2 linked regions of the Canis lupus familiaris genome follow. The protein of the gene in region 1 purifies or fractionates together with the protein of each later gene. This does not show direct contact. Links are inferred from orthologs where the notes say so. Each region holds a gene or a part of one and is shown on either strand. Other genes may lie near its edges.

Region 1 (4,486 bases):
CTAAGACCTTTGCGTTCTAACTGGAAACCCACCTACAGACTGGCTCTGGGTGGGCCATGAGGGTGCCATGCCCCACTGGGGTTGGCTGGCTCCTTCCTGCAGCCAATCCCAGGAGGTCTCTGGGGTTCAATTCACAGGGTAGGGTCCCCACCCTCCATTTTCCTGTTCCGAGTGCCAGGCGGGCTCTGCGGATTCTTAGGGCTCCACTGGCTTCCCTGGAGGTCTAGGGGTCCTGCAGGCCATGTAGGGGTGCTCTAATAGTTTCAGTCCCTGCCGTGCACCCCACCTCTACCTTGGGAGTAATGAGTGGCTTGAACACATTCTTGCTAAGTTTTCGATCAAGACTGCCAGGTGTCCTGGGTGCCAGAGATTTCAGCGGGACTCTCCACTCTCTGCTTCCCGCTGCTCAAAGCCACACGTCAGGACACCCAGAACCGGCTGCATAAAATGTGCTTAGAAAACATGCTAGCCCTCTAAGCACCCTGGGAACATTCCTGGGATGCCCAGTCAACTTTCAGTGTTTCTGAGGGCTCTGACCCTGTGGTCAGGCTACTACTCTTCCTCCCCAAATGCACTAGTCACTCTAAGTCCAGGCTAGTGGTGTAGGGGCAAGGGTCAGCAGCGCCAGCAAGTATCCCTAGTTGGAGACTTGTCTTTCACCTAAACCACTCTTTGGAATATGACAGTTCACTGCCCTATAAATAAAATTGGGAACTGGACCAATGTTTTCTTAAGAGCCCTCCAGCTCTTACTTTCCATACAGGTTTAGCTGACTTGCCCTGAGGACACTACCTGCTCTGCTTCCAGCCTAGGGCCACAGCCTCTTAGCTCAAGTCAGAGAAGGGGCTCAGACCCCCCAGAATGTTTCATATTTCTCCTTGGACTGAGGCCTACCACTGCCCCAGCCAGGGGGCTGTGACCCTCCCCTCTGCATAGTCGAGTTACCTAACTGAGGCTTCTTGAGGGTACTTTTTTTATTGGCTCAAAATCTCATTCACCAGTCTCTAAATAATCTTATGTACAAAAAATAGACTTTCCCCCCTGCTGTGAAATCTCATCAATAAATACAAACGTGTAAAGGAGGGAGGGGAGGCATATAATATACCATACCAAAATTCACTTCAAAAGATATCATATAATTTACAGTCTGATTTTTTCTTTTTCTTCTTTTTCTTTTTCTTTTTTTTTCTTTTTAAAAGAAGGGCGCTTCAGGTCGCAGCGGGAGAGTTCCCCAGGCGGACAATCTCTTTCCCAGTTCACAGCCTGGTCTCCCTCCCCTCGGGAGGGCAATGGCTCCCAAAAGTGCACGAGAGAAGGCAGAGGATCACCTTCCTGGATTAAGGCAGCGAAGCAGCCAGAAACCAGGACTTGATAGGGACTGGAGGAGAAGAAGGTCCGCTGCGTCTTTGGAGAAGAAAGCAAACGGTGAAAGATCAAATACTGAGTTAAATCACATTGGTGGAGGATTGGTAAGAGACAGACCCACAGACTTGAGTGAGGGTAGGGTGGCTGGAGACAGGGGGTGTCTCGGGCTGCGTGCGTAGAGCTAGCATCCTCTTCTTCTTTGCATGAGACTTCGTCTTTGCATGAATGAGGGTAGGGTGGCTGCAGGGAGGGGGACGTGCGGAGGCTGCAATGCTGGCCTGCGCGGGCAGCACCAGAGGGCTGGAGTTGGCGCGGCGCGGAGGATGGGGATGGAATGCAGCCTGTCACCCTCGTGGGCGCCCGGGGTTCACCGGGTGTTAGCGAGCCCGAGCCTGGAGGAGCAAGTTCGCACCAGGGCCGCCGCAGCGCGGTGTCCCTGACGGCCTCCGCCCCCTCCCTCTGTCCCAAGCACCCACCGCCCAGTGGCCGACAGGCCCCTTCATAGGAAGTCTGAAAAAGCGAGGGCGCCGGGGCGCAGACTGGCAGGGGAGGCAGGGGCCTGCAGCCCGGGACGCTCCTCCAGCGAGGCGGCGGGGCTCAGGCTGCCCGCCTGGGAGACCGGGGAGTAGAGGGAGCCCCAGTCTCCCGGGGAGCCGCCGTCCTGGCTGCCCAGCTCCCCGCAGGGCAGCGCGGGCGCCTCCAGCCCGTAGAGGCTGTGGTCCGCTATGCGCAGCGCCTGCGTCAGCGCCCAGATGTAGTTGTGCGCGAAGCGTAGCGTCTCGATCTTGGTCAGCTTGGCATCGTCCGGAAAGGTGGGCAGGACACCGCGAAGCGCGTCCAGCGCCGAGTTGAGGTTGTGCATTCGATTGCGCTCGCGGTCGTTGGCCTTCTTGCGCCGGCTGCGTCGCTGCTTGCTCAGAGCCAGCTCGCTCTTGGGCCGGCTGCGCCCGCCGCGCCTGGTCCGGAGCTTCCTCGAGGCCCCTCGGCAGCCGCCCCCTTCCTCCTCGGCGCCGTTGCCCCGCGAGCGAGCGGGGCTGGGCGGAGCGGACGCAACGCAGGCCCCTTCGTCGTCCGAGGCGCCCGGGAAGGACCGCTCAGTCTCGTAGGTCCCTTGGACAGTTGGCGCACCCGAGGGATGAGGCGCCATCCTGCGGCAGGGTAAAAGGTCGCAGTAAGCGTGGGTCGGCCACCGGGGCGCAGTTCCCTATCCCGGGGCCAAGAGGGGGTGGGGGGTGGGGGGTAGAGAAAGAGCCACCCCGCCCCCGTCCCGCCGGATCAGAGGACCCCTTTCCCCCTCCACCCGTCGCTCTGTCGCCTCCAGGTGTTACCTTGTTCGCGCGCGCAAAAGGGGAGAGAAGGGGGCAGCGAGATCAATGGTTAGGATGAGCCGGCCTTTCCGTCTGCAAGCGCAGCGCAGACGCAGGTGCCGCTGCCTGGACGTTTCCACAGCCCTGGAGAAGCCAAACGCAAAGGGGTCCCGGGCCACCGTGGCTGTCTTTGGCGCGGCTGCGAGACCATTCGGATTTTCCGAGCCGCCAGTCGTGTGCCCCTTGGCACGCTTTATCTGCTCGGCCGGGGCCCGGAGCGTGCCTGCCCCGTTGCTGCCCGAGCGGCCGGCCAATCAGCGCCGGGGCCAGGGGGCCGCGCCACGCGAGCCCGCTCCTCCCCCGCGGGGCACAGCTGGATCCCGGACAAAGGGCCGGGGTCGGGGGAGGGGAGCGCCGCTCTATTTGCTCTCTCCCCGCGGGCTCCGTCCCAGCAACTCTCGGTTCCTCAAAGAGCCTCGCCCAGGGAGAGGAGCCTCGTCTGGCTCGCGTCTGGCCGCCCCAGACCGCTTTGCTCCTACTCTGTCTTTCCTTGGCACCTGCCCAGAACCTCTTTTGATACCCCAAAGAGGGCTTTGGGGAGCCTATGGGCTTGGTCGATCTCCATATGTTACACATGGGGACATTAAGGCTCAGAGAAGGTGGCAGTTTGCCCCAAATCACTGGGCCAGAGATAAGACAAGGCGCAAGTTGCCTGGACTACCAGCTTCGAGGAGTGTCCACTAATTCCCCAGGTGACCCTGCTGTCCTGCTCTGCTGGTCAGGCCAGGAAACTCATGGGGTGATGTTTCCCTGACCCTCTCCTTTCTGGCAGGGGGCACAGGACAACCACACAGAAAGATTGTGCCTAGTCCCTGCCACTTAGAGTCCTTCGCTGGGGGTCAGGAGCCACCCTACCTCCTACCACCTTGTCCCGTGATGATGCTCCTCACTCCTCAGAGGGAAGCACTGAGAACATCTCCTCCCAATCTCCTAGTGGGAACCCAAGAAATTTCCATCGGGTCCCAGAGGCGGAGGGTGGCCATGGTGGGACCTCCCAGGGACATTCCACCACTAGCCATCGTGGACAGCCCCCTCACATTTGAGCCAGGGCCTAAGGGGGAAGGGCCCAGGTGAGAATGGGCCAGGAGAGGGCCAGGAACTCGAAACAAGGCCTTGTCTTTTAAACACTCTTAGTGTGCTGGAACTGTGAGAAGCAGACCACTTCTTTCCTCCCTCTGTCCTCCTGTCCAATCACAGCTGGGCCAGCCAGCGCCTGGTGCTAGGCAAGGATCCGGCGAGCCCGGATCGGAGCCCGGGCAGGGACCCTGAAGGCCCCTGTTAGCGCAGTCGGAAAGTGAGACCAAACGCATCATCCCTCCTTTCTTCCCCAACCTTCCCTTTTGTCCTCGCCTCGGACACCCCCGTGGTCTTCTGCTTCCGGTCACTCAGGGTGAGGGGTCGAGGCTTCTGCTTCTCTCTTGACTACAACGTGTCTGGTGGGGGGGTGAGGGGACAGCCAAGGGGGGGAAGACTGGGGCCTGGGTTCTGTCTCTGCAGGCTGCGAAGGCTTCACTCTCTAGTAGATCCAGACACCCAGTGCCTGCCGGAAACTGGCGGAGAGGGGCTGGACCCTGCTGGGAAACTGAGGGGATGGGGTGGAGGGTCAAGGTAAGTCTGCGGATCTGCCCTAGTGACTACCTCTCCACACCTGCCCTGGCTGCTTAGAGGGTGCAGTGACCTCCTAGGCAGAGAGAGGTGGGATGTGCTAGGGAGCCAGGGAGAGAGGGCTCTAGGGCTGTATGGGGATGGGGGCG
Region 2 (4,497 bases), on another chromosome or scaffold:
TGGGATCGAGTCCCACATTGGGCTCCCTGCATGGAGCCTGCTTCTCCCTCTGCCTGTGTCTCTGCTTCTCTCTCTCCTCTCTGTGTATTCTCATGAATAAATAAATAAAATCTTAAAAAAAAAATAAAAAATAAACCCACAGGCCCCACTTTATCTCCTTGTCTCCGCCACGTGCAGACGCAGTGGGTTACTAACTGCCCCCCCACCCTGCCAACCCAGGGCTCCTGGCCACCAGCCATTCGGTGGCAGTGAGCAGCAGAGGGTGCTGGGACAGCAGGTAGCCTCTCGTAAGAACTTTACTCCATGAGATCTGCCCAGAGGGACAGGGGAAGAGAGGCACACAAGGGTGCTGCTATGAGAGGGCCAGGATAGGCCCCGGGGAGGGGGCTCCCCGTCAACACAGCTGCCAGAGCTGTTTTTAAAAATATATTTATTTGAGAGAGCACGAACAGTGGGAGGGGCAGAGGGAGAAGCAGATACCCTGCTGAGTAGAAAGCCCGACCTGGAACTCGATCCCAGGACCCTGAGATCACGACCTGAGCCAAAGACAGATGCTCAACCACTGAGCCCCCGCCCCCCCTAAATCCATTCTTTAAAATACTTGTGGGAAGTTCCATATCGTGAGGAAGCAGCCTGGAAACACCCACCTCATGACAGTCTTCCGCTACAGAACCCTCCCCTGACAAATTGTGCTCCGAGTCTGAGTGCCCAGCGCAGGTAGGTGCCAGCTCCCCCACTCCGTGGGTGTACTCGGGACCCCCCTGCCGGTGTGCTTGGAGTTGCTCCCGTACAGGGATGCTGGTGTCACATTCAGCTACAAAACCTATCTAATGTGCCGCGGTGCTGACCACACTGAGCACCTGGGCACAGAGGTGCCGCTCTATTCACTAGAACATTATATTTACTCCACTGGCTACACGTTACCCTCAGAAAATGGTTTAGGGGAAGTTATGCAGGAAAAAAAAACATGGCAAATAAAGGCAAAGAAAGAATCAGATCCCAGTTCACAACATCTCAGAACTTTACTCAAAAAAGGGATGGTGAAGAGGTGAAGCAAATGGAAAGTTCTGTACCTTTCTAACGGGGACACTAAGCACATGTGGCTTCATCCACGCACATGGGGGCCACAGGCTGGTTCTCCCCACTGTAAACGTCAAATGTCAGGGGGAGGGCCGGGTTTCCCTCGGCCAGAACCCTGCACTGCAGAGGCGGCACCCAATCCGTCAGAACTGCACAAATCTCAGTCGGGGGCACCTCTGTGGCTTGGTTGGTGAAGGGTCTGGGGTTGGCTCTGGTGGTGATCCCAGGGTCCTGGGGTCGAGCTCCAGCTCCCATAGGGCACCCTGCTCAGGAGGAGAGCCTGCTTCTCCCTCTGCCCATGTGCGTGCTCTCTCTCTCAAAAATAGGGCAGCCCTGGTGGCTCAGCAGTTTAGCGCCACCTTCAGCCGGAGGGGATCCTGGGGACCTGGGATCAAGTCCCATGTTGGGCTCCCTGCATGGAGGCTGCTTCTCCCTCTGCCTGTGTCTCTGCCTCTCTCTATGTCTCTCATGCATAAATAAAATCTTAAAAAATTATAATAATAGTAAATGAAATCTTAAGAAGACTTTCTGATATGCGTGCCTGGGTCAGGCAGGGCCTTCCTTACCAGGACATCCTTCCTTCCTTAATAAATCCACGCTCAGCCAATCTGCGTGCAGTGAATGAGGCACCTGGAAATCATGTGTCCGGGGACCTGCTCTAAGGCATCCCTGGAAGATCGGGGAGGCTGCGCCGGGTCAGAGGGACCCCCTGCAGCCCACACTTACTTTTCTCCAGCTACTTTCCGCACTAACTTGGCCTCCGTCCCATTCATGTCTAGCTCCCAGCCCCCAGACATTTTGGGGAGGGACTTGTGCTTCTGTATTTTCTTTTCCTCCTTAATCTCATCATTCAGGAACTCGACGAAAGCTTTGTCCCCTGCAATGAAAACCCATAAGATACAGAAAAAGAAAAACCAGTCAGTCTTAAACCAACAAACGACTTGGGGTGATTGCTGTGGGAAACCTGGCCTCGACCGATTCTGATGCTTGTGCTGTTACGGAGGCTCTGGGCACGGAGTCAGACCCACGGGGCCTCGGTTCCCAACCTGGAAACGGGCTGGACACCCGTGGCAGGAGGCTGAGCTCAATTCTGGAAAAATGACTTCCAGCAACGAGCCCATCACCGCATTTCACAGCGAAGCCAGGCGATTCCCGTTACCCGCCCCAGACCACACACGACCTCCCCTGCTTTTAACTCTGACCAGCCGCCTCCCCGAATCCACCTCCGAGGCTCAGGATAGAGCCGGCTGCCGGGGTTTAGAAGCATCACCGCCAGCCAGGGAGCCACCACTCTCGGGATTAAGGCAGGAAACCTCAAGCCACGTGGGATTAACCTGGAGTCGTCCACTGCAGGGGGTCGTGAGTTTGGGGCCTTGGGCCCCCGCCCCCCTGGCCGCGGCTCCCCGGACCACCGCCCCCGCCGCGCCCCAGCCTCACCCTGGGTGTGCAGCCCGCCGCAGCCGCAGCCGCAGCCGCAGGGCCCGCGGGAGCGCAGGAGGCCCGCGCGCACAGGGAGGAGCCCGAAGGGCCGCACGCACGGCCGGGGCGCGGGCCGCAGCAGGGTCGGAGGCGGCAGGGCGGGGGCGGCGCGGAGCCCGGCGACCGCCGAGCCCAGGGCGCGGGGCACTCGGCGCAGCAGCGGTAGCATCGCGGCAACGCACGTGCGGGCGCGAAGGACGAACCAGGCCCGGATCCCGGCTCGCGCGCCGCCGGAAGTCCCGCTCCTCCCCGGGAGCGCTTCCGCGCCTGTGCAGTGCCGGCCCGGGGCGTCGGGCTGGCAGCGCCCTCTGCTGGGGCCGCCGAGGTCAGCGGGGCCGCCGGCGCCGGGTCTCCCCGCGGGACCCCGAGCCCCGAGGGTAGCTCCGCTCCGGGGCCGGCCCTCTGAATTCCCGCCACCCTTACCAAGCGTGGACACCACCCCGGCGTGCACACCACCTGTGTGCACCTCCCCAGCATGCACAGCCCCGGCACGCGCACACACACGGCCCCCAGCGTGTGCCCCTCCCCCCCACCAGCGTGCACCCAGTTCCCAAGACTTTGCATTGTTCTGGGACCAGGAAGCTGGGAGGAGGAGGGAGGGGCCCAGAAAAAGAGAGCTCTTAAGGCCCCGGAGAGGTCACTTGGGGCCTCCAGCTGTTCTTGGCACCCACACCCTACTCCTAGCAGCTCCTCGAAGAACCTCCTAAGGCGGTGTCAGAATCGCAGATGCAAAAGCCTTAGTCGTTACGGATTTTAAGGAATAAAAGGGAATGCAGAACTACGTGGGCGGCCGAACCGCATCCCAGACTTCAACCTCGCGGTACAAGTCCCAGGGCTGGTCCAAGAGCAAGGCGGGTGTTCCCATCGGAGATGAGCCCAAGACCCCAGCCCGTGGCCCGGGGGAGGGGGGGGGGAGGCGCTAATCGCCCCTTCCCCTGGCCCCACCCTCACAAGGTTAAGGTCTCCCCCGGGGGGAGCAGGGGCCTCATTGCCCTGACAGGGCGCAGGTAAAGGTGTTTTCAACCTTGTACCTGAGCAACCTGATGGACGCCCCTGCGCAGGGAACACAGCTGCTCTCCCTGGATATTCATCCCTCACCCTTAATAACCTGCTCGCCTCTGCTTGACAGTCACGGCTTTGGAAGTTATTTCCTTCCTCCTCCTTTGCTGCAAATCCTTTAGTTTCCTGTGTGGGGCTGCCCCTGGGGTCGTCTCTGGTGGAGTTATTTGGAATGTCTCCGTGTGGTTTGGTTGGGTCCTGGGCATCTTGGAGCTAAGTGGTGGTTTCATTTAGCCCAGGGCCAGGAGCCTGGGGCAGAAGGCATGCAGCCACTCCAGGGCTTGGGGAAGTAAGGGTTAGGGAAGATTTAAGAGGATAGGGGCACCTGGGTGGCTCAGTGGTTGAGTGTCTGCCTGTGGCTCAGGGTGTGATCCTGGGGTCCTTGGATTGAGTCTTACATAGGGCTCCCCGCAGGGAGTCTGCTTCTCCCTCTGTGTCTCTGTCTCTCATGAATAAATAAAATCTTTTAAAAAAAATTTTTTTTAAGAGGATTTTCATACACTGAAGAAGACTCTGGAAACCTGAGGCCTGGCTGTTGTCAAACTCAGAGTCGAGGGCTTCCCAGAGGAAACTCACCCTCTGCCTCCCCCAGTACCTGTCCGAGGGCTGCAGGTTATGAGGACATGTAATGGTATCTACACTGCCTTCTGCCCATTTCCCCCATCAGTCTCCACCTGTGACCCACCCAGAGCAGCTCATGTTACTTCAGTGACAGAGCCGTGGCTTGTGTCAGATTTAGGTTCAAAACCTATAGGATATGGAAGGTATGGAGCCCGAGCAGGGACTGCACTTGATCCCCCAAACCCACCTGTGGAACCCAGCATCCCCTGGCTGCCCCCATGAGGCATTCTTCCTCTGTGGGAGAGAAAACACAGGGGC

What was found.
Region 2: the proteins of NEUROG3 (region 1) and C1QBP purify together in Homo sapiens (affinity purification with mass spectrometry; 3 studies listed by BioGRID and IntAct, counting the BioPlex papers as one, with this or other methods). This does not show direct contact. The link is inferred for Canis lupus familiaris from reciprocal best matches to the Homo sapiens genes NEUROG3 and C1QBP.

Annotation. Positions count from the first base shown.
Region 1 is NC_049225.1:21,374,277-21,378,762, forward strand, and holds the start of NEUROG3 (neurogenin-3), read right to left. Parts: upstream 2,904-4,486; 5' UTR 2,694-2,903; intron 2,514-2,693; 5' UTR 2,513-2,513; coding exon 1,865-2,512; 3' UTR 1-1,864. UniProt on the Homo sapiens protein: Acts as a transcriptional regulator. Together with NKX2-2, initiates transcriptional activation of NEUROD1. Involved in neurogenesis. Also required for the specification of a common precursor of the 4 pancreatic endocrine cell types.
Region 2 is NC_049226.1:31,558,524-31,563,020, reverse strand, and holds the start of C1QBP (complement component 1 Q subcomponent-binding protein, mitochondrial), read right to left. Parts: upstream 2,813-4,497; 5' UTR 2,729-2,812; coding exon 2,518-2,728; intron 1,958-2,517; coding exon 1,807-1,957; intron 1-1,806.